Linked DNA regions of Kluyveromyces lactis. The protein of the gene in region 2 interacts with the protein of the main gene of each other region in a biochemical or structural test. Links are inferred from orthologs where the notes say so. Each region holds a gene or a part of one and is shown on either strand. Other genes may lie near its edges. The genes, in order: ASK1, IPL1, DAM1, SPC34 and CBF2.

Region 1 (5,355 bases), on a different chromosome or scaffold from region 2:
ATGTTAAAGCGGATGTCCCTGCCTCTCCACCTGCTCACAAAAAGCATTCAATTGGAGGATTAACCTCTCCATTGAAATCAAAGAAAAAATCTGATAAGGACCAGAAAGGATCTTCTATCAAGAAATTTTTTGGTTTGAAGCCATCTGATCAAAATAAGAATACAAAGACCACGCAACCAACTCCTCTTAAAAGTTCCCCAAAGCCTTCTAATAAACCAGTAACGGCAACTGTCACAACCGAAAAGAAGGAAAATGTTGAACCGAAATCTACAGCAACAGAAACCAAACCTTCACTGGAACCATCATTTAGTGGCTTTAGTCAAGGCTCCGTTCATAATAAAGTCGAACAGTCAGATGCTTCTGAAGTAGAAGGTGGAAAAGAAGAGCCTACTTCCAAGGACAACAGAAAGTCCTTGTTCAAAGAAGTATTTTGATTTGAGCTGTGAACATGGTCTGCTCACATTTTTTTATACTATTGAACTCTAAAACCAATTCATCACGTATATCAAAAAGTTCTTTTTATTGATTGATCTTTTAATTACAGTGTCAGAATGATTCAACTCTTCATAATTTGAAGCCATTTCAAAGTAACAAACCGTTATGTATCACTATGAACTTTATTTTTTTCTCTATCTCATAACACTTTTTAAAATTCCCAGAAGCCTGGTAATTTATTCTGTTCTGTTTATTCTATCTATAATATACTCTATTTTTTGTAAAGTTCTAACTAGTATTATCATTATGCTATATTTCAGAATATCCTTCCGAGTAGTTTATATTTACAACTTCATTAATAATTTCTTGAGAAACTAAGTGAGTTATAGTGCGTTCAACTGATTGTACTTGTAATAGTTCAAATTCTCCGTAATTGTGATTTGATGGAAATACTTGGACTGGGTATATCTTCCGCCAATATACCAGTCAACAGAGACAATAATGAAATATAATCCGAACCAAAATGCCAATAGCCATTCAAAACAGGCAGTCGTTGATCTATCTTCTAAGCATGCAAAACAAATAGCCCAAACGAAAGCAGCTATTACCCAAAATGCCTTTAGTAAGCCACTGATAGTATACTTGTTCCAAACATGGCCGTGCCATTCATTCCACCTTGTGTCTTTGCCGATATCTTCACTACTTGTAAGAGGATGGACGACAGCGTAGTGTCTGCCCATTGTCATATATTGTGCGACATGACAAATTACACTCAATCCGACAAATGCACAGAATATACCCACCATGGAACTGTGCACCCTAGGATACGTGTTTGTTGAGAAGATAGTGCACATAAGCAAAGCCAATTCACCTATACTTCCTAGTACGAATGAGGCCCATACTAGATTCCGTTCATGTTTGGTAAAAAATGGAGGCATGACATATTTCTTCTGAATTAAAGCTTCGATGTAGTTCGATTCCATTATAGAGCTATCGTTAGATTTTTCTAAGTCATCATGATAAGTATACGGTAACTTGAAAGGCCAATGACCAGATCTTTGAAAATACTCTAGAGCAACCATGATTACGTATCCTAGACCTTGCCATGCCGCACAAGAAATAAACAACGGTTTTAAATTGGTCGCACCAATATGGGATATATAAACCGGGAACTGGTCTGTATGCATGAACCAATAAATGGGATGACCTTGTCCTGCCCAACATGCCAACATCGCAATTAGCATCCCATACCATGGAATGAAAGCTATCCAGGGAAAGATAAACCAGTAGTTACCTGGACGTGGAAACATATTAGTATAGTCTTGCGGTTTACGTTTATACCTGTATCAAATCCAATCCTTATGAGAATGTCTACCAGTGATATTCTTTAAAGGAATGAGCTATGTTGACCTTGTCCCGTCAAATTCGGCTGGTATAATATACTCATTCTTTTCCTTATATATCTAAAACCCGACTTCCACGAATAAAAAACAATATAAACTATATTTGACATATTTATATATATATGCTTTTATATGGCATGGCTTGTGTATGGCACTGCAGTGATGCTGTCACTGATGCCTTAAATTACAACTTGCTATTCACTGAATGTAACTGTCAATCGGCTCGATGATACACTAGCTTGAGACACCCTGCGCGATTTCTGGGCGCTTTGTTGCGATATTTGCTCCAGTAAAAAAAAAAGGTTTTCTTTCGATGCTTTACTAATAGGTTTCGAGGCTTAAGAGCAAGGATGGATAACGTAATGGATGATATCTAATTTTCCACTCCGAGTAGGCAGAGCCTTCTAAGCCATTGATACCCTTGAATAGCAGACGTGACCGGTGTCCTTGAATCAGTACGTATTATGTAGTTTAGTTTATACTTTCAGCTTGGAAATATCGTAAGCCTCATCCGAATCAGCCTAGCGCTTCTTCGTTGATCTGCAGAAAGTTACCTTGGCATTGCAGAGACTTTCTTTATGTCATTTCAAATTTCTTCTTAGAGTTACAAGAGGAAATATGAATTTGACCAAAAAGTCAACAAACCGGTTTGACAGAAAGGATTTGGATTTGGAAGTGTAAATAGTGACGGTTACAGGTAACAGGACGCGGTGTCCGTTGTTATAAATATTACAGTAAACAAGGAAAAGGACGCAATTAGTCTGTGCCAATTAGCTAACACTAGGTTTCCTGTTTTACATCATGGATGCAGTGAATATTGAACAAATAGATCAAGAGATCACGTTAAATTTACAATCAATCGATTCAGACCTCTCGTACTGTTTCAACAAGATAACAAAGGATATAATACCGTACGTGACGCGATATGGACAGACTTGTGAAGATATCACGAATTCTAGTTCGTGGCTGAAAGAAATGTTTCAGCAGAGTGCTAATGTTCAGTTGGTGACGGATCAGGCTGTGGAATCTGCGGGTCAGGTTTTGGAGCCCCGGACTTCCTTATTTCCAGAGGTAGAAAACGAAACTGATGAGTTCCATACAGTCGATCAATACCCTGCTTTATCTCAAACCGGAGTAAGTTCCGCTGGTGCCCCCACCACGAAAACAGGAGGATCGGTAAAACAGGATCAATTTCAAGATCAGGATACCGATGAGTTGACTCAGGATAGTGCAATGGAAAAACAGAGGAAGAAGAGAAAAGTTTCGTTACAAATTCACCAACATTTCAATTCGTCGTCATCTTCTAATTCTTCAATGGAGAATGATATCTCTGCAAACAGTTCCCCAATAAAGACGATCCCCCCGGAAACAGAAACTGGGACAGAAACACATAACAAAATCCAGGGCGAATTGGCCAAGCCGGGAACCGTTATTCATTTTAACAGCAAACGCGATTGAAGCTCTGTCTTAGCCTTCCCCCACTCACTTCTATATCATAGTGTGTGAGGTATACATTGTTACTCAGGGTTCCAGATCCTATGACCTGAACGAACAATCACGTGATATAATACTTTCCTTTTTAGTTTCATGCTTCTATAGCTTCGTTTTCAATCGGATTTCTACATGGTGAATTTGACATTCTGATTATGTGCGATGCAGAGACTAAGTGAGTATTCATATACGATACAAGATACGCCACAAAACTACCATGGGTAACGTGATGAGTGCAAGTTTCGCTACAGAGTGTACACCTTTGAAGGGTAAGTACGATAAATGTTTTAACGACTGGTACAGCGAGAAATTTTTGAAAGGTGAGTCAATTGAAAACGAATGCCAAACCGAATGGTACGAATATATGGAATGTGTCCAAGCTAGCTTGGTGAAACAAGGCATAAAACCAGCTCTAGATGAAGCACGTAAGGAAGCACCATTCGAGAATGACGGAAAACCTGTAGAGCCTTGAATTGCGGACCAAAGAAACGCATACATACCTGCGCCATTCGCTATGATGAATCTAAGTATAAAATAAATTAAAATGGGTTTCATTTGAAACCTCTGTAAATAGAGAATACAATACAATACCTAGCGCGTATTTTTGACCACAGTAGGGTTAACATTACCAGGAGTTTCGACTGAAGTTGTACCACCGCTACGTGATTATACCTTAATCCTTTCTCCACCGTAAGTCAGGGCAACGTTCGTCCTTTGTGATATCTGCTGTGCAACTCTCTTAATTGGGGTAGCCTTCAGAGACACCTACATAATTCTGCATATAATAATTCAAACATATCACCTAAATAACTAAAGCACAAGAAGGTCCAGTATAATGACTGCTGTCATATTCTTGTAGAACTTCGTGCCAGCTCCATCTCACTGTTTCTATCTCCTCATTGCAGTACTAGAATAGAATATTCTGATTACCCTCCCTCCTTTTTTACCCTATTGCCACCAATAGAAAAATTGAAATAAGAACATTTTCGATAAAAGTAAAATTTGATTTCGAAAGATCTGGGAAAATAGGAAACAAATATTGTTAAGTTAGATAGCTTAATACTCCAGAGAAAGAGTTCAAGGATTGAAACGGCGTTTAAGAGTTCCATTTTTGTAACGATACCTATCTCGCGTGCTTTTCTTGTTGCGAGCAGATACTAAAATTGTACTTTTTTTGGAAAGAAATTATACTCAACATTTTCCAATAAAGCATTATAAAAAATTTGCATACTTGCTTAAACTTCTAAGATTAACAACAAGCAATCAGAACTACTTCAAGAGAACTACTACTACTCACGCAATCCAATTACAGATTATTACAATAACGATCGCCTTCCCTCTTTTGCTAGCAATAATTTAGGTTCGCACAGTTTTTATCAATAGAAATAATCCCGGATGTCACAATTTAAGAGAAACGCCAGTTCGAAGAAACTGGACTCTGAGACTAAATATAAGCTTGAGACGCTATCAGAATTGTTCCCAGATTGGACAAATGATGATTTAATTGATTTAGTCCGTGAATATGATGATCTAGAAACCATAGTTGATAAGATAACTACTGGAGCAGTGACAAAATGGGACGAAGTGAAGAAACCATCTAAAAAGGAAAAGCCTGCATCGCATATAGAACACCAATCTCATAGTTCTCATCAACAGCTGCAACAACAAGCCGCATCACACCTGGACCCTGAAGATTCTCCTTCTCTAATAAATCAACATCATTCGCATCAAAGACAATCTAGATCCACCTCTAAGTTCAGTAATAACAGCGCCAATGGCAAATCAGTGCAACAAAGACAGCAACACCAGTCAAATAATAAAGATAACAAGAAGCAGCCTTCAAAGGATAGTTTGAAGCCTGCTCCATTACCATCTAAATCTAACGCTGGTAATAACGCGGGGTCTTGGGCCGCCGTATTGGCAGAAAAGAAAAAGGCTCATGAAAAGAAGATTGACCATACAAAGTCGTCTAATACAATTGCACATGAATCTACTAATGAACAATCTGAATCTAATGAACATACCG
Region 2 (5,899 bases):
AGAATCTAGAAGTTCGTTGAGAATAGCTCTACTTGTCTCCTCTTCACCGAGAGTCTTCGAGAGAGTATCGTACTTTGTCTGTATGGCATCAATGTGCACTTTTTCATCCTTTACATTAAGCTTCGTAAGCAAAGAAACCAAATCCTTAGCGTTCGACATTACTTTTTTCAGTAGAGCTTATTTCCTTCGGAAATTCCTCAATTACGATAGCAATGAGTCGATGGATCTCTATCGTGAGACAACTATTCGTTGGTCCCTATGAAGTGAATTTCGATAATCCATTTTTTTCTTCAACTTTTTTTCATTGTTGCAATGTTAAAAGAATGAAAAAAATGGCAAAGATCTGGATGAGCATATGTGAAATAAAAGATGTGATGACTAAATAAGGGATTTAACCTCAATGTAGTTCTCTTTTTTCAACTATGCTAGCATATTTGGCTACAATTGTTTCTGCAGGTCTTAATGATAATGTTGAAATGTTTTTTCACAAAGTAGAACTCTGTTTAACTATGATTAATTTCCCTTTTGTACCAATTTTTCCTCAGACAATTCCGCATATTTTCTTTATTGTACATGTAAAAAGTCTTGCATTCATAGAAATGTAATATTTAATCGAGCGATGAGATGAGATGAGATGCGGTTAGAGACCATAAGGCCGACTCTTTAAGCAGTAACTAAACGTTGAGCATGCAGCCGGTATTTTCAAGGTTTCCATACGCCTCCAAATCGGGCTTTATTTCACTGGCTTCCAGAGGTTATGCGGTGTCACGGAATTCAGGTTCCAGTATCAAGTCCAATTTAAGATCGAAGCCCAGAGCAGACACGAGATGGAACACCAAAGCGAAACCGCCGGTGAAGAATAGGAAAAGTAATGGGAAAGGTGATCACAGGTCACATTCGAGGAGCGATTCCCGCGCAAAGCCCTCACAAGAGCAGACGCAACAGCAGTTCCAGTATGGTGAGTATGGGAAACTATCGGAAGGCGATCCAAAGATATTGGAAAGGTCAAAGAGGTTAGTGTCTAAGATAAATGATTTCAGTCAGTTGAAGATTTTACCAGAGGTAAGGGACAAACTTATGGAGGTGATTTCAAGCGAATCATTGCTAAATAAGAATTTACTGGACGTGAAGTATAATCCAAAAGAGAATAATGTACAAGAATTCAAGAAACATTTGAAACCATCACCAATCCAGACTACTGCTATCTACCAGACGTCTAAAACTTTAATGGACCCTCAGTTACAAGTCCGTCTTATAGCTGCAGAGACGGGTTCTGGTAAGACTATGGCTTATTTGATTCCTTTGGTGGATTATCTTAAGAGAACAGAAATGGAAAATCCTTCATGGGAAACTTTGAAAGACAAAGCCATCGTTAGGTCCATAATATTGTTACCAACTCATGAACTTGTAGAACAAGTATACCAGACAGTGTCTAAACTAGAACCTGCACTCGGAATGCACACGTATAAATGGGATGCAGGTTCCTCTTACAAGGGATTCGTTGAGGCCTTGAAGGGTAGAATTGATATCATGGTCACAACCCCAGGAAAGATCTTAAGTTTGTTTAACATATCTATGGTGAACAGGCCCGACAGAATCCTTTCACAAGTGAAGTTTTTAGTCATGGATGAAGCAGATACACTTTTGGATAAATCATGGGTCGAAGACTCTTATTCCACGATAAAGCACATGCAAAACTTAAATCACGTTTTGTTCTGTTCGGCTACTATTCCAAAAGAGTTCCAAAAGACGATCACCAGATTATTCCCTACCGTTGGAGTAATTGCTTCCCCAAATCTTCATAAGATTAATCACAAGAATCAAATCAAATTAATTAACGCAGATATGGCCCCATACAAGGGATCAAAGACCAAAGCTCTGGCTCAAATATTATACTCAATTAATAGAGACAACATCGACCCTGGTTTCGAAAAAAGGGTAGTAATTTTCGTGAATGAGAAAGAAAATGTTCCACTTGTCGCAACTAAACTAGCCAACCAATATGGACACGACGTTGTTGCCTTGACCGGTAATGATTCTGTTGAAGAACGTCTGGAAAAAATCAAACCTTTCATGGATCCTCCTAAGAAGATGACAACCCGTAAATCAGAAAAAGTGACTACAGAAAACACAGTAACAATGAAGATACCCAACTCAAATATTGTGATTGAAGAAATACCAGAAGACAATGAAGCATTTGTTGAAAGCACTTTGAAGGTTCTAGTAACGACAGATGTTCTAGCAAGAGGTATAAATTTCAGAGGTTGTCGATACGTTGTTCTATATGATATTCCAAATACTCCGGTGGATTTGGTCCATCGAGTTGGAAGAACAGGAAGAATGAATCAAAAAGGGTCTGTATTTATAATTACTGGAAAACGAGTAAAAAATTGGGTCAAAGCTATACCATCAATTGTTTCAAAGAACGTTTCCATTTCCTAGCAAAGCTAACTAATTTATAGATTCTCTTCCACTTGTATATAGAAATCTAAACATGATAAATACTAAAGATCTGTCCAAGAACCTCGATTATTTGCAATCCATGCATGAGATTTAACTTCCGAGAGGGGGATTCTCTTGGAAGGTTCAAATTGCAGCAATCTTACAATGAGATCTCTTGCCTGCGGTGAAACATTTAGTGGGAACTTGAGATCGCACCTCAAAATTCTTCTATATGTCATTTCCTTTGTATCCTCCTCAAAAGGTGGCGATCCAACTAATAGCTCATAAGTTAGAACTCCTAGGGCCCAAACATCTACTTTATTGTTATATTCTCTAGATTTAATGAGCTCTGGTGAAAGGTAATCTATAGTTCCGCATAAAGTCTTCCTCTTTTGTCCATCCTCGTTATATACACTCCAACCGAAATCTGTCAGTTTGATAGTGTTGTTGAAACCAATTAAGATATTCTCCGGTTTTATATCTCTATGCAATATGTTTTTACTATGCATATAATCCAAGGCATTAGCCATTTGATAAACAAAATAGGATGCCAGCGTCTCATTCAAAGGCCCGTTATTCTTCAAAAATTTATATAGTTCTCCGTAATAGACATATTCCATAAGTAGATAAACCCGTTTTTCGTCGTAAAAGAATCCATATAGCTGTGTCAGATTTTTATGTTTGAACGAACCCTGAATTTCTACCTCCCTCCTGAACTGTTTCTGAATTGTATATTGAACAATTTCCTTCTTTTCCATCGCTTTTAAAGCACAAATTAGCCCCGTTTCCCTATGTTTAACGCAATAAACTTTACCAAACTTACCTTTACCTAAGATCTTACCTATTTCAAAGTCCTGAAGTGTCATGTTTTCAAACTTATCGTTGTGATCATTCAATATTGGTACGCGGGTACCATGCGCGGTGTTGGGTTTCTTTACCATTAGCGATCTTCTAGGATTGTTGTTCACTGGTCCAGTGCTCAACCTATGATGAGACGAGGTAATCGAGTCTTTTTCATGTGCGTGTCCTCGTGATAAGCTAGGTCGTTTTCCTGCATTACTTAGTCTTATCGATAATAGTTTACTCTGCTGTAACAATGAATGCCTTCTTCCTGTATCACTTGCATCCCTCGATAACGATGGTCTCATGTTCAATATATTAATCTTGATGTCTGATAGTACCGTTGCACATCCGCCGTCGGATCTTGACCTGGCTTTATGACACAGTTTTACACTCTTCAAGGTGACGTTCTTTAACCTGAATCAGATTCATTTCATTATTTACATTTTCCCTCTCCAAAGGTAAACAAACGGAATCCATTATAGTGAAGCAGAAGAAGACGTAGAAAGACATAGACCGCGATAGATCTAGTATAAAGCTATAGTTGTCAAGGCTAGGTGATTGCTTTTCACTTTTGTCATTTGTATGATATGCATAATGGGTCTTTTTGATTCTTGATGGACTTATCGTGTCCCCGTTCTAGCATGAGTTTTTACTGTAGGCGCTATGTCATGTAGTAATCATGTTTGACCAGAAATAAACTTTCATCATTTAAATTGAATCCATAGTTATCAGTGAAGAAATTTCAGTGTATTTAGGGTAGCACGAACTTGGTCGAAGTAATCCGTTGGGAAACTATAGATCAAGAGGAATAAAGAGGCCTCAAATCGGCTCTTTACGCCATGGTAGTGATGATTCAGCTCGCAGATCTTAAGGAAAAAAATGAAAGTTACCCTACCACACGCATTAGCGTAATATTTACGATAGATTACTGATGCACATGAGATGAGCCGTAAACTTCAAGGAGGACAACTATCTTGATCCAGGGGAATGCCTATCAAGTGCTCAAGTTTCGAAAGCTACACGACAAAGATATATTAATAATGGATAAATTGGACCAATTGCTGGCATTTGCCAAGGACAATGGAGTTTCACTTCCACAAAATGTTGGATTTAAGAACGTGGAGGGGAAGGGTATCTGTTGCATTGCTAGTGATGACATAGAGCAAGCTGTCTTTCAATTGCCCAGCCATCTGATAATTACCAAGGATCTTTCGAACAAACACTTTAGAGATCAAGTGAAAAGCAAAGAACATCACAATACATGGTTGAAACTGTTTTTGAGCAAGCTAAAGTTTTCAGATGAGATGATCATTTTGGATAATGAAAACATCACAAAGCTATTCAGACCATACATTATGGCTTTACCATCACAGGTAGATTCTCCGTTGGGATGGAATCCATCTGAGCTTGCTCTGCTGAATGGGACAAACCTTTACACATCTCTAAAGGAAAAGCTACAATCGATATACGACGAATGGTGGAATGTCATAGAGGGGACTTCTTTTCAAACGCGACAGTACAACATTGAACAGCTCAGTATTGATGAAATATACGAGCAAATAACGAGTAAAGTATTTTCTGAGAAGATTTTGGACTTCTTCTCTTTTCCAGCGTTCTTATGGTCTCATCTAATGTTTACTTCAAGAGCGTTCCCAGAGAGAGTAATAAACCCATATTGTGATGAATATAATGTGATATTATTACCAGTATTAGACCTTTTAAACCATGAGAATAGATCAAAGATTCAGTGGTCATGTTCCAGTGAAGGAAGTTTTATATTTGAAAAACTCGAACCAGTTTCAAAAGGAACTGAAATATGCAATAATTACGGTGCTAAAGGAAACGAAGAGTTATTATATGGATATGGATTCGTAGTCGATGGGAACGAATTCGATAACCTTGCATTGAAACTCAAGTTGCCTTTACCAGTAGTTGAGAAGATTTTAGCAGATGGTTCTGTATACCTTCCAACATTTGATGACTACACAACTTACGCTTTCGATACAGTAAAGGATACCCGTGGAAACCAGAAAAAGACAAACGATACCAAACCATTGAAAGCCCTGGAAAATTTTGCTGATGGAATCCTTTATTTTATCAATGCTGATCTAGAAAATTTGAAACCGTTAATGGATCTTTTCTCACTTCTGAGTAAAAACGATAATGAAAGTGCACTATCATTAAGATGCCAACTGACAGCACTACAATCGTTGAAGAATGCATTGAAACAAAAATTGTACCTAATAATTGATGCAGAACCATTGGAATCACAAAAGGATTATGCTACATGTGAATATAGGAAACAATGTGCGGCGATTTACAAATCCGGGCAAATCTCGATTCTAAAGGATTCTATCAATAATATAAAGAGGTTACAAAAACACATACTGACTGCCTACAAACCATATCTAGCAAGCATAAAGAGCATTATGAAACATGACCGGGATTTTCAGAAAGACTATCACGAACTATACGACCAAACCAACAATGCCGCACCGGCAGATTTAATAGATGAATTTGAATATGCAGTCGCCTGGTTGATGGTGAGAACTCAAAAGCTCGCACGCAGCAAAGAAGCTTCCGAATACCTCTGGGTACAAGATCAATTTACTAA
Region 3 (5,658 bases), about 790 kb from region 2:
GATTTAAAGATTAATACTAAGCAGGAGCTGAAGTAACCTAAATGGCACAAGACCCTCATTCCATTTCTTCTAGCACGTTGGAAAAGCCTTAGATTATTTGAAATTTTCAGCAGGTAATAAATCTACGTTCATGTTTCCCGCCTGTTCTCTTTGAGTAGCAATGCCTCTAATTTTTCTTTCTGCTTCTTCCTCTGGATCTTCATCACCATTGCAGCAGCATCCGACTTTCTTTGGCACTTTTTCGGACGATTTAAACGTGTTTAGAGGTGTAGTAGAGCCGGCGTCAGCAGTGGCTTTGCTAGATGCAAAGGACCTAGTATCATCGGTAGAGGCAGATGGGCCAGGTCCACATTGGCAAAGCTTGAAACGTCTTTCCCATTCCTTTTTCAATTCCCATGCCTTCAACATGTTGATCTTGATTCTGTTAAAGAAGATTTCGGCCAGAGATAACCCGAGTATGACAGCAAACACGTATGCAAGTACGAATGTCATAGCAACAAGCATCAACATATATATTATCATGGTAGAACAAAAAGTGATCAATAACCGTACAAAATCATGGAAGAAATCAACCCAGTCTGGGGCGAAAACGTTGAACATGAATTTGCCGAAACTAGTTGGCAAGAATTGCCTTTGTAATTCCAGATCTTCGATAGTATATAACACGTTCTTACCTGTAGCCTCATCGTTCTCAGCTTCCTCATTGACTCCTGCCTTCTTGAACCATTTCAATTCTAGGTACCAGCTCACAAATAACAAGAATTTGTATACAAAGGCAGCAACAACGATAAGCAAGAAGATACCAAATGCTTCACCGCGATCAGAAGCATAGAGTTTCTCAAAGACAACGGGATAGTTCATATATTTTCTTGTGAGATAAGAGTTCATTCCAGTCATTTCGGAACCACCATCCATGTCCATTCCAGACATAGAACTGGAAGTACTAGTACTCATGGCCATGGCACTGGCTGAGGTGGTAGTATCACCTGCGTGCATATTCATGTTGAAAGGCTTTATTGATATCTGTCGATGGGGTTTTTGGATAGTGTCGGTTGTGGCTCTTTTGATTAACCCAAGCCAACTGTGCAGTTATTCTTTTCTTCGTCAATCGCTTCCCAATACGTGAATGAACAAAGAGTTAAAATCAACAAAAAAACATCAATGTTTCTGGTGTGTAACCGTCAGCAGCTAGAATGGAACTGATCAAGATGTATGGCTAAACACTTATATGCCACTTTCTTATATTTAAAATGTACAACCAATACCTTCTCAAAATCTTCTCATCTCATTCTTTATGTTAGCTCTTTCATTGATTTATGTTCTCTGTAACTTCGGTCATTTTTCTTCACAGAATTCCTTGCAGAATGAAATGAAGAGGGCGGCCTTTATTTGCTCAATAAGCTCAACTCGAATAAAAGTAAATCGAACGAGACTTCACTTGAAACGAGAACGTTCATGTATCACTGATAAGCGGTAAGAGCAGCCTCATAGAGCACTTCAATCTTTACTGAGTACCTTCAGTAATTTTTTTTTCTTCATTTTGTTAACTGACGTTGTAATATTACATTGTTTGGTAGATATACACACGGTATGAATATGTATCTAGAAAAAAGCTCTGGTAAGAAGTATCAAATAACTCGTTACCTGAAAGGAGGCCTGCTTGCAAGGTTTTTTGGATTATAGGTTCTCTGTCTTGTTCTTACAACTCTATTCGGTAGAGCGGGCTCTGTATTTGTAGATTCACGATTAGCAGAAGAGGCAGAGCCAGCGGTAGTCGATGATCCTGCCAAGATAGGAATTCTTTTTGCACTGACTGCTAGTGATCTTTTTCTTTCTCCAGGAGTAATACCTGTTAGTGTATTAGGTATAGTGCCTATTGCAGCGTTGTTTCGTATTTGATGTAGAATGGATCTTCTTCTGAGTTTCGATGACGCGGAGCCTACCGTTTGTTTTCCCATAAAGTCAGTTGAAGCTCCTACTGAAGATATCATTTGAGGTTTGAAAGTAGTTGGGTTGGATACAAACGAAGCGGCTGTGTTATCTTCGTCATCGTTAATGTCAATGTTAACATTCGAGCTTGCAGTAGAACCTGGCACATTTTCATCACGATACAACATCTGAGAACCTCGTGATAAAGGTTGTCTTGAAAGAGGTAATATGCTTCCTTTGGTAAGTTCCTTTGGCTTGAGTTTCGCCTGTAGTGCTTGTCTTTCTTGTTTCAACTCTTCTAGTCTTTGGATTAATTTCAATTCATGCGGAGTATCATGAGATATGTTCGGGAAATCAACACACCAAGAGTTACACATCAATCCGTATAATAAAGCGCTTAGAGCCTCATTTAAATCCGCTATCGATTCATGAATGAAATTCATGTGCGTCATGTTACCATCGAGTGTTACCATCGAGTCCGAAAGTTCCTGTAATTGTGGGAGCACGTATTTTTCAATCATTGTTTGATTTGACGCATGCTGATCTCGACCGTTGTTGCCTAAACTAGATCTTCTTGAGCTTGCATTAGATGACAAAGATAGTCTATATTCAGTTGGCCTGTCCCGCTGTGGAGTATTTGGCCTTTGAGACATATCTTATGAGCAGATGAATCCAGCAGTTTTATGTTGAGTTTGGAATAGTGCCAAGTAGCCCTGAGAATTTAAGATGAAAGGTCAAAAAAAAAAAAAACAAGTAATGAATTTACCTCAGACTGTCTATGAGATGTCAAATTAGATACCAGGTTGCCCAAAGAGACACTATCGCATTCCGTCTGTCTGCTTGGAGACACCTTACTGTTCGTGTTTTTGTTTTGCTTTACTTTATTTACGTTTTCGATTTTCGATGTACAAGTATTTCAACGATAGTTAGTTAGTATTCATCAACAGGAATGAAAATCATTCAAAATAGCTATAATAGTATTTACAGGTACAAACAAGGTTGATACTACTATGTGTTTAGTAATTAACTGCTTGAATATAATTTATTGGAATTTGAGTATCTCGAATACTAGAAAATTGAAGGAAATGATGGGATCGAGATAGAAATTCCTGAGAATATCAATATGTGTTTCTTTATCACATGAACTTCTTGGCATGTTTTAGCTTTTGCCTCTTTATTTCATCCTGTGACATAGCGGAACCACGACCACGTCTTAGTGCAATGATAAGGAAGATAGATGAAAGCAGAGATAACCCATACCAAGTAATTAAATATTGTAAATGATTATTCTTCAAATCAATCTTTGGTGCTTTACCAATAGGCACTCCCGCTTTAACGAATTGGAACTCGTTAAATTCCAATCCTGTCTCCGAATCTGCTGTATTTACTTTCTTCGTGTTGACGTGTGGTTTCTCGGATTCTTCTTGTTGTGGTTCTGTTTCGGTTTTCTTTTTAGACCAGAATTTCCAAGATGATTGGTTTTTGTTATCGATACCCTCAGATTTTGATTCTTCATCCCAATGGTGATCTTTCAGATCGTAAAGAGCTTGGTAATGAATAGGAGAAGTATGTGTCATCTCTGTCATATCCTTAATATCCAAGACTTGCCACAATCTACTCTCCCTGTCTTCCTTCTTCCATTGCATTGATGTCAAATCTTTAGCTGCACGCACTAACACTGTAATTGTCACGTTATCGCCTTGAGGTAAAGACAAATGTTGCAAGTTACGAGATGATGGAACGATTTTCTCCTCCGAGATCCAACCACGTTCAATCAAAATTCTTTCTCCCGTATCCTTTCTGATGAAAGGCGTATATAAAACGTACCCCTTGATCCCTCCTCTAACACGGGGGCCGACAAAAATCTCTTCATCATGCAAGAATCTACCGGTCATAGTACACTTGCGGTATTCCCAGTCTTCGCACATATCCGGTGTAAACGTTTTAGGTAACGGAATAGGATCGTAGGTTAATTTGTCTTCGCAGGAAGCAATTAGATTGGTTTTCCATTTCAATCTTCTTAATTGCCAGGTTCCTAAGTAGAACGAGATCACGGGCATGGCAATCATCAGTCCTAGAAAAATACGCTTACCCCATCGTGATTCCTTCTTTTGAAATCCTTCAGTAGGTGTCTTCTTTGTTTTGATAGGTTTCCAGTCAACAGTCGATGTCCTGACCGTGCTATAAAGTCGTCTTACCGGCCTTACCTTTGGTACAGTGAATGGCCTAGCCACAATGAAGCGAAACATATGCTTTGCTAATTGTGTGATACTAGTAGCTTCCGCTAAGAATTGAAATGCGTTTGAACAATTAGTAACAGCAAAGAAGTTAAAGCTTTTCTAATCATGTTTATACGCGATTAGATATACTACTCATCTGCTTTCATCATCTTCATTTTCCAATCTTTTAAAGATCAGAAAAGTGTGAAATATTCTAAAAGTCACGTGAAGAAGAATTTGGAACTCCGACGTTGTGGGGATATTAATATGTACAAGGTTACGTAGATCTGAGTATTGATTGTTTTATGAGAATGATCATCTAGGTCGTAATTGAATCATGTGAAGGTTGTTCAGATAGTTTCTTCATAGGAGAAAAAGTGAAAGTAATTTAAATATGGAGTTGGTTGAAATCAAGCAGAGTAATATACCTTCTTGACATCCACAATTTTCTTACCTCTACCTAGAGCAATTTCATCTATAGATTTTTGAGACTTGGTGATAGCGTCTATAGTACCCTTGGCTATGTTCATGATATTTCTACTCTTGTAAACTTTTGCACTTAAATCTTTGATACCAGCACATTCACAAATTTCATAAATTACGTGATTGACTCTTAGACCGAAACCTGGCTTAGCAGCTCTCAAGAATAGTTTCACACCGTGGTATCTATAGTCTATGTCTTCAAAAATAGTTCTTTTTTCAAATCTAGGCACTTCTTTTAAGTTCCTCACTGCATCCCAATGAGCTTTCTTGATGGATTCTGCCATATCTTCACGGGATTTACCCTCACCGATTCCTACCATACCATTCTTATCACCAACAACCACAAGAGAATAGAAGGATGGAATTTTACCTTTTGCAGTTTGATTAGAAACCATCTTTAAGATCAATGGTTTCATCACTAGTTTTCTGGCGATATGTTGAGCATCGAACCCCGTCTGTAGTTGGATATTATTGGCAATGTTTTGTATATCTGATCTGCCTTCAGTTTGTAAGTATGAACCCACAGGAGGAGTCAAATCTGGATGCTTTTCCATCTCTTGAACGAATACCGAAGATGAGCTTGAATGTAGATGTGGAGAGTTTGGTTTATAATCCCAATAAGGATGTAATGTGGCAAAGTTATCCAAATATGGTGGTGAGAATTCAACATTTGTCTGTGGTTTGAACTCTACATTGTCAGGAATTACTTTATCAGCTAAGGAAATAGACTTGAGTAGTTCTGGAGAGTAGTATTTCTTCAACAGGTCTTGTTGAAATACACGAGCAGTGCTCGAGAAACAACGGACGAACATTCTCAAATACGATCAGGGTTATTGAGAAAGACGCTGCAACTCACTATGTTGAATTTTGCTCCTCGACCTGTCTAAACCTGCTTCAAAAGACTTCTGGTGTCAATTATATTAGACCTTATTCTGGTGTATATGTCTGAGTATGTTGCCATTCTGTATTAACTATTGAAATTTTTTTAATTTTTGAAAATCGATCAATCGTTACAAATGAGAGAGCA
Region 4 (5,599 bases), on a different chromosome or scaffold from region 2:
ATCATGGGCCTTAGGAAGGCTTGTAATCTTAGATCCGGAATCATAGAACTGTTGTAAAGTTGGATAAGTTTTACGGCGGCGATTACGGTGAGAAACACCAACATCTTTAATTTTTTTGGAAGTACTATGTTTCTTCCTTTCGGAAATATCCGATTTCTTCTCGTGGTCTTGTAGCTGCTGATAGATGGATTTGGAAAGCAATGGAGAGTGCTCTTCTTCTTTGTTTTCTAAAGGAGTGGTAGCCGCAGTTTCATATGTTTCGTTAGTTTCTCCAGTTTTAGGCGAAAGTTCAGATAATCCATTTATATTTTCTTCATCCTCCGATGAGTATTCTTTATCCATGTTGTACTCTATAATCATATCGATTCTATCCTTAACGTTGTTCAAATGCTTCTCCAAAAACAATTCATGCTGCTCAATTTTAGCCACTCGCTTGAATACTAGTTCACGCATCATTTTTAACTTTTCCAGCTTGATATCTAGCTCTCTTATTTCGCTAGCTGCTAGATTTTTCTGGATTTCAAGTAAATCCAGGTTATCGGTGATTGACCTCGAGGCATCCTTCAAGAAGGATGCGGAGTAAGAATGCAGAAGTTTATCAGCTTTTAAATGGTCTGGCAAACTAAACTCTTCCTCTTGTTCTTCTTCTTCAGCGTAAACTGGGATGGACTCAGAGTCTGTTAAGGGTTTCATATCGCTATTCATTATAAGTTTTTGCTGTAGTTCTATCGTTTCATTAATAACAGGTAAAGATGCTTCAAATCCTTGAAATAACGTCGGTTCTTGCTTTTTTGACTTTGCAGATCTTTTCTCGCCATTTTCTGTTATCATGTTCTTGTTCTGAGGTATAGTGTCTCGTGGGGCGTCTTCAAGTAGATCATCACTCAAGTAACTTAAAACTTTGAATGTTGTTTTTGGATCACTATAAGAGTTTTTAAAGAACTCTTTGCTATTGGAATATATATCTTGGAAACCTGTATTCTTGCCTTTAGATAATTTCACGTCGTGGCGTACTTTAACTAGTGATGATCCCCCACCTGCATTAGTAATTGTCTCATGAAGCAATTTCTTATATGGACTACTGTATGAAAGAATTGTGTCTTCCATCGGCTGCGACGAGAATAGAACAGACGCCGTGGTAGACAGTGCCTTTCCCAGATTGGCAAACTGGTCTCCCGTATTAGAACTCATAGTTCTGGCACCACTAACACTCTTATCGAGGCTTTTGCTCGCAACATATGTTTCTTTAAGATTTGAAGTTGTAATAGGAACTAACAACTCTTTGTTTCCATGTATCTACTTTTTTGTACTCTGAAATTAGAACTTTCATTGCAGCAATAAAATCATATGAAAGAACGAAAACCGTATTCTCTGTAGAAGAGCAAGATGCCGTAGAAATGGAACTACGATATATTTCGTTATCATAAAATTAGAACCTTAATAATACAAAAATGATATATACTGAACTGAAACTTACATGAATATTTCCATTCCAGTGCGAGATTAATTCCCGAAGTGTGAAATATATCTTTCCACTTCATTTCGGCAAGCATATCGGTTTTTCTTGGATATAACTTATTAATGTATCAAATGGATTTTTAGTACCGCTGCTAGATTTCACTTATTTCTCCCTTCCAAAAGGTCCAACTGTTTCTCGAGCTTCTGTATTTCTTTCTCCTCTTTATCGATGAGAGATGATATTGACGTTTTTTCCGGTAACGCTTCGTGTTGGAAGTCTAACTCCTGGATCTCTACTTTCTTCTGAAGTTCATTAATATCAGCTTGTAATCCATTGTATATTTGCATTAGTTTTTCAAATTTCTCCTTGTATTCAGTGAGAGGCCATTGATCTATAATTTCCCGGAACACAGATAATATAATCGAGATTGGGAAATCTTCTACGAAAAGAGTTTTCCTTCTTGATACATCCTCGCCAGTTATCACACTTCCATTCCGCAATGCATGAAGAAATTGCTTGATTTGTTCGTCCTTGCTGAATTTTTTCAATAGCACGTCGTAGATTCCCAGCTCATCGCTGTTACTTCCTTCGAAGATAAAATCTCTTGCAGGTTTCTGTTTCTTTCGGATGACATGATCGTTTTGACTGAGATAAAACCCCTTCGGTATGTAGGTAATAGGTCTTGGATCTGGTAAACATAGTGCTCTGTTCCGTTTCAAAGTTGCTTCCCTCTCCAAGAGATGATCGTATATCCCTACTTTCCCATCCTTACGCTTCATATTTCCATCGTTATCTGTACTGTATAATGACATTTCTTCAATTGAATCGCCATCTCTTATAAGCTTTACTATAAGATCTGAGTACACTTTGCTGTTGCCTGGTACAATCGCATTTCTAAAGATGCCTGGCGGTTTGAAATATAAGGTCGATATTGACTCCGCGGATTTTGATATCTGATCCAGGCAGTAATCTAATGATCCAGACATCCTTTGATGTTGTTAAAAAACACTACACGTACAGATTAGGCACCACCCTCTTTCAGGAAACTGCTATGGAATACAATATTTCATCCAATACTATGTAATTTCTTGAAATACTCCAAATGATTCATTTATCTTTTAACTCGATTATGTTTACATTTTAGTTTTTTTGTTTTCGGTGTTTACGAAATCTTTACGTGAAAAGAGTTGGCATTATGTTAATGGAAAAGGTTGACAGAAGACTTTTAAGGCTCATGCGGCCTTTACATCGGGGTAAGCTAAGCGAGAACTATTGCTTACTTTATTCTATATATGATGATAAATAAACAAGAAAATCAGAATTGGCTATTATTATTCTCTCCATGCGATATAAACCTCATCGGTTCTAAACTTCTGCGTGACAATGGTTTCAGAAAGATCCTTAACAAAGTGGCCTGTTCTGTACTCTAATAGGCCTGCCTGGGCAATCATCACACCATTATCAATACAGAATCTGTCATCAGTTGCGTGTACTTGTCCATTGGACCTGTCTTTACACATTTGGGCCATCATCTCTTGAAGCCTAACGTTGCATCCAACACCACCCACTATTAGCACTTGGTTTGAGTTTACATGGGCCATTGCACGTTCGGTAATCTCCACAAGCATGGCAAATAAATTTTCCTGTAAAGAGTAACATAGGTCTTCTACAGTCACAAGCTGTTCTCCTGTTCTTGAATCAAATAATAATTTATTCTTCAAGTTCTTTTTGAATAGGTCTTTCGCTAAAGTGTCAATATATTGCAAAATACCACTCATTGACAGATCCATTCCCTTAACAGTGTATGGTAATACCACTAATTTTTCTTTATTCTTACACTGTTTAGCCAGTTGTTCAATGTTGTAACCAGGCGATGGTGCATTCGGTATCTTCAAAGTTCTTGCAAATCTGTCTAAACAATTCCCAATGGCGATGTCCAACGTTTCACCAAAGATTCGATATCTTTTCTCGGAGTAAGCAATAACTTGAGTGTTACCTCCACTAACATAGAGCACGACAGGATTTTTAGCTCCTGTGATCTCTCTCCCCATCTCGATATGCCCCACACAGTGGTTAACCCCAACTAATGGTATGTCCCACATCAATGACAAAGTCCTTGCAGCTATAACCACACAATGCAAAGGAGCACCCATTCCAGGTCCTCTAGTGAAACATATCACATCGATCTTTGTGGGATCATCGATCTTGGCCTCCGTTAATGCCTTTCTAATGATTCGTACCACCCAATTCCTATGATGTCTTGCAGTATCTCTTGGTAAAAACCCTTCTCCTGGCGGTGTCACATATGTATCTCTAATATTAGCCAATATTTCAACATCACACTCATACGAAAGGTCACTATCTTCATGTTTTTCTAGCACTGGGTGCTTGATAATACCAACGCCTAACTTGTTGGCAGATCCTTCAAGACCAATTGCCAAATAATAGTTCCTTTTACCTCTTGGTGGAATGCCGTTTAAATTCACCATCTCTTACTGAAAAAAGAATTTTTGACGATAATAGGTATACCTTCAATGAATATCGCACGAACACACGTTGAACTGGTGAGACACACTATATATTCAGGGAGTTGTATTACAGATCAAGATAGTCAACTCATCTCAGTTCAACTTTTCGGTTTTCTCAGATTCCAATTTTTCAAAAAATCATATACACCAATTTTGTGAGTAAAAGATAGCATAGTAAGAGGAGCAACAACAGAAAAAGTGTATCAAACTGCAAGACATAGTCATAGCTGGTCAATCACTCGTTGAGGGGAAAAGATTGTGTACAGAACGTATTTTCAGATTCGATATGAAAAAAGATCTCCGCGACGGGGAATTGAACCCCGATCTCGCACGCGACAAGCGCGAATTCTAACCATTAAACTATCGCGGATTTTGAAATAAAGCACTCACGGTGGGGGTCGAACCCACAATCTTCTGATTAGAAGTCAGACGCGTTGCCATTACGCCACGCGAGCTATTTAATTCGTTGAGTTGCTTGAATTCCCTTTAATTTATGTACGGAAGCCGAAACCACGTGCTAACAATGTGCATCTTTGGATAATTTATTAATGGATTTCACCCTTTGAATCAACGCAAAAATACCTTTTATTAATTGCAACCAGCGGAAATCTTTTTACTACGACAGTGAAACTCCCTGAGCTAATTTTATCTCATTAGCCTCTTTATATTTATCATTAACAACAGAATGTTATAAATACTTCTTCAATATATGAATTAATTGCCATTGGGCAATTAATTGGGGGATAGTATAAACTTTCAGCAATGTTTGATAAAAGACCTTCTAAAATACGTACACCACTGTGAGGTATGAAGCCTCAATCTAGAGGAAGGAGCTGAACATGCAAATCAGTTAGCAACTGAGGTCTTCAAGACTTCATTCGCCGATCACATGACATTCACAGACTCTGTGGACACCTAGAAAAGTTTTCTGCCAAAATTGCGAGGGCGTGTGGTCTAGTGGTATGATTCTCGCTTTGGGTTAGTAGCCTAGCGAAGCTTCGATAAACGAAGTTTAACTACTGCAAAGCATGCGAGAGGCCCTGGGTTCAATTCCCAGCTCGCCCCAGATTTTTTTTAATTTCTGATCTTTTCTACCACTGATTGCAACCCAGTGGAAAGTGTCAAATGAGAATATTTTCGTTCACAAAAGCACGTGATCAGCTCTGTGGCTTCTTGTATATATTAAGCTCTTATTAATAACTGTAACTTTCAACAGTAGAGCAATGAATTTATTCTTATTACAACCTTATCATCTGTTTTATCTTCACTGAAGTGTTTCTTACATTATTTTACACTGGATGACATCGGCATCCGAGTCACTGAATTATCGAATCTCTCTGAATCCGAAACTGAAGTTGTGAGGAAATAGAGTTGATAATGTCATCGGCAATACTATTCGCTTCAAAAAAGTCGTTTCCTGCAGCTCACAATGCTGTGCGAACTAATTGGACCAGATATTCCTCAGCATTGAACACGTCTACAAATCCTGCGATGCAGTTTCCATGCCTAGATAAACTCGAAAAGAAAACTGCAAAGCTTAGAGGAGATGACTCAGATCCTAACACACCAAGCTCCAAGATGTCATGCTCTATGGAAGAGGATGCCACATCCG
Region 5 (7,152 bases), on a different chromosome or scaffold from region 2:
TCAGAAACAGGAGACCAGATTAATGGACCCAATGAGAACCCAATAACCATTAATGAACATGACAAAATGGCAACTTCTTGACTCACATGGAATTTTTCTTCTACAGTGAACAAACCACCGGTGATACATGCAGAACCGTAAGCGACAGCGATAACAAGAACAGACATCAAAATTGTGTATGACCAACGGATCCACAGAGGCCAATTATGAGGATTTTCTGGATCGTTAGTGACAAAGGTAACAAACTCAACTTCTTTATCGATATGACTTGGCAATTCCTCATCGGGCTCCTCGTCGTTTTTCTCTTCGCTACTCGAAGCGTCTTGCCTATCCATCTGTCTAGTCCTAGTCCTTGAGATAGCTGTCGGCGTTCTACCAAGAGAATGTAAGGTAGCCACTGGAACCAACCCTGTTGCTGTCTCCAAGGTATATTCTTCAGGGAAAATAGCGTTTTTAGCGACAGATGTGGTTGGAGCGTTAAAATCAGGGATCGGAACCTCCGAGGTAAGACCCATGTCCTGTAACGATTTAGCAGTTTCAGTTGGGACCAACTTCAAATTGCTGCTACCTGCTTCCCCACCACTTGCAGTGCCAGCACCATCGTAAGGTGCCGGTTCAGGCACGTATGACTGAGGAAACTGTTCCTCATACGAGTCTATCGATTGTAGTTCCTCGTTGTTCATTATTTATTAGAGTGAAAATGTGCGGTATCTGCTGATAGATATAGTTATAAATATAACTTTCCTTAGCGATTATCTGATGTCTCGTTTGAAGACAGAGGAAACTAGAAACAACTACTATAAAAATTTACAAAACACAATATCTACCTTATTAATATATCTCAATTACTACAATGCATACTAATATATATATAAATATGAAAAACTCTTGCTTCAACTAAGCTCATCTTTAAATTTCATATTTCTTCCATGTTCCGGAAAAGAAATCAAACAATAATAAATAAAGCAAAAACAATAACATTGAGAGTTTTACATACAAAAAGGAACCCAAAAGACTCAGTCAGATACCAGGCAGCTCAAAAAAATTTCGAGACAAACGACGAAATCTAACGCTGCATTAAAGCTAAAATAAAGTAGAACTAAAACTCCCTCTAGATGGCTGAGAAAATTTCAGTGACGGCTGCTGGAATATTTAAGGAAAACCCTGTATAAAACAATATACCATATATACCTCTAGTTGCATAGTTCAGAACAACGCGCAACACTTGGCTGTCCAGATCATGGAGAGCACGGACTCTTTTCTCACGGTCTGTAGCCTTTCTGCCACCGTATACTGCCCAACAATTGTAATTCACGCTTTTCATCACTAGTCGCTTCTTGTCATCGTAAGGTGAAGCGATCCCAATTGATCGCACCTATAAAGTGCTGCAGGAAGATGGACTTTTGGATCAAAAAATCTACAAATCCGCTTTTTTTTTTTTCTTTCGAAAGAAAAGGGCAGTAAGAATCATCTCGAAGATAAATACGTGGCTAGTGGTATAAAGGATCTTGAGCAGCTTGGTCTGAACAAGAGAAAAAAACTGGACAGGATGGATAACTGGTTGTGTCCTTAGCCCCGGGTGGAGTGGAACACTAGAAACACGTGTCACTTGTCTTTGAGCGAAGAGTTTGGCCCATAACTGCTGTTGTAGACAACATTCTACCAAAGGAAATGTATCGCCCTTTTTTTTTCCTTTCGGTCTGCTTGATCGTTCCATTGACTGGCAAAATAAACGGATGGTAGATGCTAGCTGAGACTACACATCAACCAATTCCATTTCACCGTTGGTATGTAGTCTAGCCAAAGGCGAGAAACTGGCTCTCTCAAAGATGTTGAAACTGGTTGCTTCATCAATTCTCCTGTTTCACGGGTTTCTAAATCAAACTTTTTTTTTTTCATGCTGCAGCCTGGTTTGATGAAATTTAATGGCTCGGGAAAGGAGGGCATCGGTCAAATTTTTGATATTCGTATAATAACTGGATCACGCTTTTTCCTGTGGACCGGACTTATGTGTTGTTGTTGTTGTTACAAGCATGTAGTGTTACCCGGTGGATATGGCGGAAGAATTGATTCTTTCAAAGAAGCTGTATGTCTGTATAATTTCTTATGTTGTCCTCTCTGGTGGGGTGCATTAGCGGTTCGTATTTGGATCGGGACGAAGGGCAGCACAATCATGGAGTTTTTGAGGTGGTCTTCTTTTATGTTCACGTGACTGTTTTTTTTTTCCAAGATGCATGCTCTTCTCAGTTTCGCTCCCCTCAAAAAAAAAAAAAAAAAAAAAGAGAACAGTTGTCTTTCGCGTATTGTAGTTCTTTTTTTTAACATCCATAATAATAATAAAAACAACAACCATTAACAATAGGAAGTGATACTTATGGAGTTGGTTGGTTTCAGGTTGCTGGCGAAAAGCTAATATAGGCTCCTGTTTTCCTCAAGTTGAATGTCCAAACTTGATTCTCTTTTGAAAGAATTGCCTACACGAACAGCTCATCTATACCGCAGCATATGGCATAAATACACAGAATGGCTGAAAACGATGCCCGATCTCACCGGCGCAGACCTGAAACTTTTCTTGTCTCAAAAGTACATTGTCAAATATATTGCTTCGCATGATGATATCGCGAAGGATCCATTACCTACTTGTGACGCCATGATTTGGTTCTCTCGTGCTTTGGACATCGAAAATAACGATGTTCTTGTATTACAGCAACGGTTATACGGTCTAGTGAAATTGTTAGAGTTTGATTATTCTAATGTTATTGCTATCTTACAAAAGATTTCTATCAATTTATGGAATCCCAGTACGGATTCCTTACAATCAAAACACTTCAAGACTTGCCAGGATAAGCTAAAACTACTCTTGGATTTCCAATGGAAATTCAATACGAATGTGTCTTTCGAAGACAGAACTACTGTGTCGTTGAAAGATTTACAATGTATATTGGATGATGAAAATGGTAAATGTGGATTGGCGCATTCTAGTAAACCTAATTTTGTTCTTGTTCCCAATTTCCAATCACCATTTACTTGTCCAATCTTTACCATGGCAGTGTACTATTATCTACGATTCCACGGTGTGAAAAAGTACTATAAAGGGGATGGTTACCAGATCCTTTCACAATTAGAACATATACCAATAATTAGAGGGAAATCCTTGGATCAATATCCTCGTGAATTGACTCTTGGGAATTGGTACCCAACTATCTTCAAATATTGTCAGCTTCCGTACACTAAAAAACATTGGTTCCAAGTTAACCAAGAGTGGCCTCAATTCCCCGATTTCAGTGACAGTTCAGAGAATACAAGTACTCTGGCTGAATCAGATTCAGAAAACACCATTGGTATTCCTGACTTTTACATTGAAAAGATGAATCGTACTAAACTTCAACCTTGCCCGCAGGTTCACGTGCACTTGTTCCCCACAGACTTACCGCCCGATATTCAGGCAGTGTTCGATCTTTTGAACTCAGTGCTAGTCACTAGCTTACCACTTCTCTATAGAGTGTTTCCCACACATGATATTTTCTTGGACCCATCCTTAAAGACACCGCAGAATATCGCTTTTCTTACCGGCACTCTGCCGCTTGACATAGAGTCTCAAGAGCACCTTTTGGCTCAACTCATCGATAAAACTGGTACTGTCTCCGAATTAGTGCCTAATCCTGTCAAGATAGATCAAAATGAACATACTCTGACACCTATTGGTACCTCACTGTCACAGACTGATATTCCTATGCTTGACCAACTAAAAACCGAATTACAAAAGTTGATTCAATTACAGACTTCGACCGGCTTTTCTCAATTGATTACTGTCCTTCTTGAGATATTCCAAAGGTTGGATTTCAAGAAATCTAACAAGCAATTTGTAATTGATTTATTACAATCATGCAGAAAGGACATGAGAAACAAACTCATGGACCCATGTTCTCTTTCGACTAATTTTGCTGATGAACTCAGCGATGATGAAAATGAGAAAGGAAATAAGACAGGAGCCATTTATGATCCTGAAACTGATAATGGTAATGAAGAGTCTGTGAGCGATTATGAACCATCTTTTAAGAAATCGAAGCCAAATTATACAGAAGAACCTTTATCTGATGATGAAAACATGGAGGAAGTTGCTCAATTGGTAAATCAGCTCATAACTAGGAAATTTAATGAAAATTTGGAACAGCAAACTGATCGGATTATCAGTTCTATACAACCAACGCTTCGTGACATGGTCCGTACTGAGGTTGCAGATGCACTAAACCTTTCCCTAAGAGAAGCTTCGCGTGACAGTGTCAACAAGAAAAACAGTGACGAAAACTTTCAGAATTATTCCTTAACAGAAGATCATTTTGAGATGAATCCCGACTGCTCTGACATCAAATCAATTATTCTAGAATGGTTTACCCCAAATCGTGAATGCGTGCATTCGATGAACAAGAAATATGGAAACAAATGGCGACTGACAGAACCAAATCTGTCCTTGTACAGGATACGGAAGCCAATTGTTCAGTATTACATACATCTAATCAATGTAGAAAACCTCAATAAGTTTGACGCATTGAATAAGCTCGAAGCCGTGCTCGAAAAGCATCACTCCGTTCCGCTTCTCTCTTCCTTCTTGGAGAAAGCCAAGAAAAACGGCTATGCATCTGTCACGTGAACATTTTTTGTTAAGCATGCTTACTTTGCATGAGGTACATAAATGAAAACCGTATAATAGAAAATTGTAACCATATTTAGCAACGAAGCAGTAAAGTTGCTTCTGAACAAAGTCATAACTAGCTAAGAACCTTTCAGTATTTACTTGAAAAGAAAACTATAACGAGCCTGATGAGATTATGAGATTCTATATATTGTTTTTGTACCTATTTGGTACTCTAGTAGCGGCCATCCATCTTGATGACCCGCTTACTAACTTCAACTTTACTCCTCCTATAAAATCTCCTAACGACCTTCTGGACCACGAGCGGACGTTAACTGACGGTGAAATTCCAAGGTATGTTCTAGATCATTCACCGTTGATCCATCTTTACAGCGAAGAAAAATATCTTCCAGGAGACATCCAATCCTTTGTACCGCACTTTCAATTGGTAACATCGAATTATGAGACGGTTGTAAATGAACCTCTGAAAATATCAGATCTCAAGGGTGAATATAACGTTGCAGGGGAAGTTTTATCCAGCGAAACCCTGTATTTACATACTACAGAAAAGTTCGAGGAAGACCCATCTTGGTTACGCGGGACTCATCCTGAATATGGAACAGGATTGACTAGAGATGCTTCATCAATTGTTATAGTCGTTGATAAAGGCAATGGATGGGTAGACGCATATTGGTTCTATTTCTATCCCTTCAATTTGGGTCCATTCATCATGGGTTATGGTCCCTGGGGTAATCACATAGGTGATTGGGAACATTCTTTGGTTCGGTTTTTCAAGGGCGACCCTCAGTATATTTGGATGAGCGCCCATGGGGGCGGCGCGAGTTACACATATAGATGCATAGAAAAAAAGGATAGATGGAGAGTTACTCCAGAGGGGAAATTTGACAAGACTCAAGTGATAAAAAGGCCGTTGTTATTCAGCGCCAGAGGTACACATGCAAACTATGCAAGTGTTGGCCAACATGCCCATGATGTTCCATTTTTCTTCAGTGCATTAAGTGATTTCACAGATAGAGGACCATTATGGGACCCATCTTTGCGTTTCTATGGGTTCACATATGATGGGAAATCTTTCTACGAGAAGGAAGGGCAAGAAATAGGAACATCTTGGTTATACTTTTTGGGACAATGGGGGAACAAACAATTGAAATGGAGTGATCCTAGACAGAAATGGTGTCCTGTCCAATGGAAATATATTGACGGACCCAAGGGACCTGCAGCAAAGAATCTAGTAAGGACAACTCTTTGTGAGCGGAGCAAATGGTGGAACTTCTGGCATGGCTGTCCTGTCAGACGGATGATTAAGAGAGGACAAGGTTTGGATGCAGAAAGAAATGATTTGGTCGGAGATAACTGCGGTATCGCCCTATACAGGATTCGTCCAAAATGGCTACGATCATTATTCCGGCTAATCACTTGGAGGGGAGCGTTTTGCGCATTCATGGATTACTTCACTGGTTGAAATGTAACTAATTATGCATGTAGTCACATGACTCAGTTTCCATTTTCGTCTTTTTTTGCCATTTTTGTTTTGATATTTTTTTAGGGTTCGAATCTCGAGAACCTTCTAGAAGATCAAGGAGCGTTCCATGAAGATTTGATGCATTAGTCAGTTCCAAGCAAAGAACAACACCATCGAGAGAAGGAAAGAAGGAGCTAGAAAGAGTATCTGTGGCGAGGAGCAAATGTTTAAAGCTCAATTGTTTTTATATTTAAGCCAACGATAACTGAAGGATTTATTGCAATCTGTTACCAGCCTCCACCTCTCATATTTCAATCTTCAACTTGAATCAAAGAACAAACTTAATAAAATCAACAAAGACCAATAAGAACAAAGACTAATAACGATGCTTGCCTGTACACTTCCAGAGATTTCACCATTCATGTTTACTCAGAACTGTCCATACAAAAAGAGAAGAACAACTCATCAGAAGCCAACTGTAAGGTACCAAGTGCAGCATTTGCCAAACGAGATCATTGTTGATCTGAAGAAGACTGCTCCTAAGGAAACTATTGAACACCATATTTTATCTCATGTTAGGAATTTCCAAGATACCATTCCTAGATATAAGTTAGTCACCGACTGGCTCGGTAACCAATATTATGTTGAAAACGACATCAACCAAGAAACAATTTTCAACGAAGTACTAAGATCTATTAATTGGACCCAGTTTGGTATCAACATGTGCAAGAAGCTATTCCGTGACTATGACATTCAATTGAAACATGACGGGAAAGAGCTCAGAGTAACAAGCAAAATGGATGGTATTGATCAGATCTTCGAATTGAATGAGGAAGTGGATGACGTTGAAATTATGGGACTACAGTTATCCGATGACTTGCATGATGCTGTTTTGAAATTACGTTTGATCAAGAAAGAAATGCAGGAAGAAAAAGTGAAGAGTGTACAATGTGAACACAAAGAAAGTGTGCACAAGAAAGAACCATCTGAATTTGAAACTAAAAAACCTTCCCAAGTCACAGAGAGTAAAGAAATC

Evidence for each region.
Region 1: of the proteins of IPL1 (region 2) and ASK1, one has a biochemical effect on the other in vitro, tested with the Saccharomyces cerevisiae proteins (2 studies listed by BioGRID). The link is inferred for Kluyveromyces lactis from reciprocal best matches to the Saccharomyces cerevisiae genes IPL1 and ASK1.
Region 3: of the proteins of IPL1 (region 2) and DAM1, one has a biochemical effect on the other in vitro, tested with the Saccharomyces cerevisiae proteins (7 studies listed by BioGRID). The link is inferred for Kluyveromyces lactis from reciprocal best matches to the Saccharomyces cerevisiae genes IPL1 and DAM1.
Region 4: of the proteins of IPL1 (region 2) and SPC34, one has a biochemical effect on the other in vitro, tested with the Saccharomyces cerevisiae proteins (2 studies listed by BioGRID). The link is inferred for Kluyveromyces lactis from reciprocal best matches to the Saccharomyces cerevisiae genes IPL1 and SPC34.
Region 5: of the proteins of IPL1 (region 2) and CBF2, one has a biochemical effect on the other in vitro, tested with the Saccharomyces cerevisiae proteins (2 studies listed by BioGRID). The link is inferred for Kluyveromyces lactis from reciprocal best matches to the Saccharomyces cerevisiae genes IPL1 and CBF2.

Annotation. Positions count from the first base shown.
Region 1 is NC_006039.1:1,070,824-1,076,178, forward strand, and holds ASK1 (Ask1p), read left to right. Parts: upstream 1-2,639; coding exon 2,640-3,296; downstream 3,297-5,355. Other genes in the region: LPX2 (Lpx2p), read left to right, coding at 1-434; SFK1 (Sfk1p), read right to left, coding at 819-1,745; MDM35 (Mdm35p), read left to right, coding at 3,547-3,801; DNA damage-responsive RNA polymerase-degradation factor DEF1, read left to right, coding at 4,725-5,355. UniProt on the Saccharomyces cerevisiae protein: Component of the DASH complex that connects microtubules with kinetochores and couples microtubule depolymerisation to chromosome movement; it is involved in retrieving kinetochores to the spindle poles before their re-orientation on the spindle in early mitosis and allows microtubule depolymerization to pull chromosomes apart and resist detachment during anaphase.
Region 2 is NC_006038.1:204,359-210,257, forward strand, and holds IPL1 (aurora kinase), read right to left. Parts: upstream 3,591-5,899; coding exon 2,505-3,590; downstream 1-2,504. Other genes in the region: signal recognition particle subunit SRP72, read right to left, coding at 1-159; MRH4 (ATP-dependent RNA helicase), read left to right, coding at 688-2,442; RKM1 (protein-lysine N-methyltransferase), read left to right, coding at 4,326-5,899. UniProt on the Saccharomyces cerevisiae protein: Component of the chromosomal passenger complex (CPC), a complex that acts as a key regulator of chromosome segregation and cytokinesis.
Region 3 is NC_006038.1:998,250-1,003,907, forward strand, and holds DAM1 (Dam1p), read right to left. Parts: upstream 2,583-5,658; coding exon 1,641-2,582; downstream 1-1,640. Other genes in the region: high-affinity Cu transporter CTR1, read right to left, coding at 94-1,002; cytochrome oxidase assembly protein SHY1, read right to left, coding at 3,066-4,178; MRPS5 (mitochondrial 37S ribosomal protein uS5m), read right to left, coding at 4,559-5,443. UniProt on the Saccharomyces cerevisiae protein: Component of the DASH complex that connects microtubules with kinetochores and couples microtubule depolymerisation to chromosome movement; it is involved in retrieving kinetochores to the spindle poles before their re-orientation on the spindle in early mitosis and allows microtubule depolymerization to pull chromosomes apart and resist detachment during anaphase.
Region 4 is NC_006042.1:1,997,187-2,002,785, forward strand, and holds SPC34 (Spc34p), read right to left. Parts: upstream 2,446-5,599; coding exon 1,618-2,445; downstream 1-1,617. Other genes in the region: KLLA0_F21406g (WD repeat MDV1/CAF4 family protein), read right to left, coding at 1-1,191; KAE1 (tRNA N6-adenosine threonylcarbamoyltransferase), read right to left, coding at 2,791-3,948; KLLA0_F21560g (homoserine O-acetyltransferase family protein), read left to right, coding at 5,365-5,599. UniProt on the Saccharomyces cerevisiae protein: Component of the DASH complex that connects microtubules with kinetochores and couples microtubule depolymerisation to chromosome movement; it is involved in retrieving kinetochores to the spindle poles before their re-orientation on the spindle in early mitosis and allows microtubule depolymerization to pull chromosomes apart and resist detachment during anaphase.
Region 5 is NC_006041.1:343,315-350,466, reverse strand, and holds CBF2 (Cbf2p), read left to right. Parts: upstream 1-2,440; coding exon 2,441-4,651; downstream 4,652-7,152. Other genes in the region: KLLA0_E03829g (MFS transporter), read right to left, coding at 1-683; KLLA0_E03785g (uncharacterized protein), read left to right, coding at 4,830-6,116; KLLA0_E03763g (uncharacterized protein), read left to right, coding at 6,502-7,152.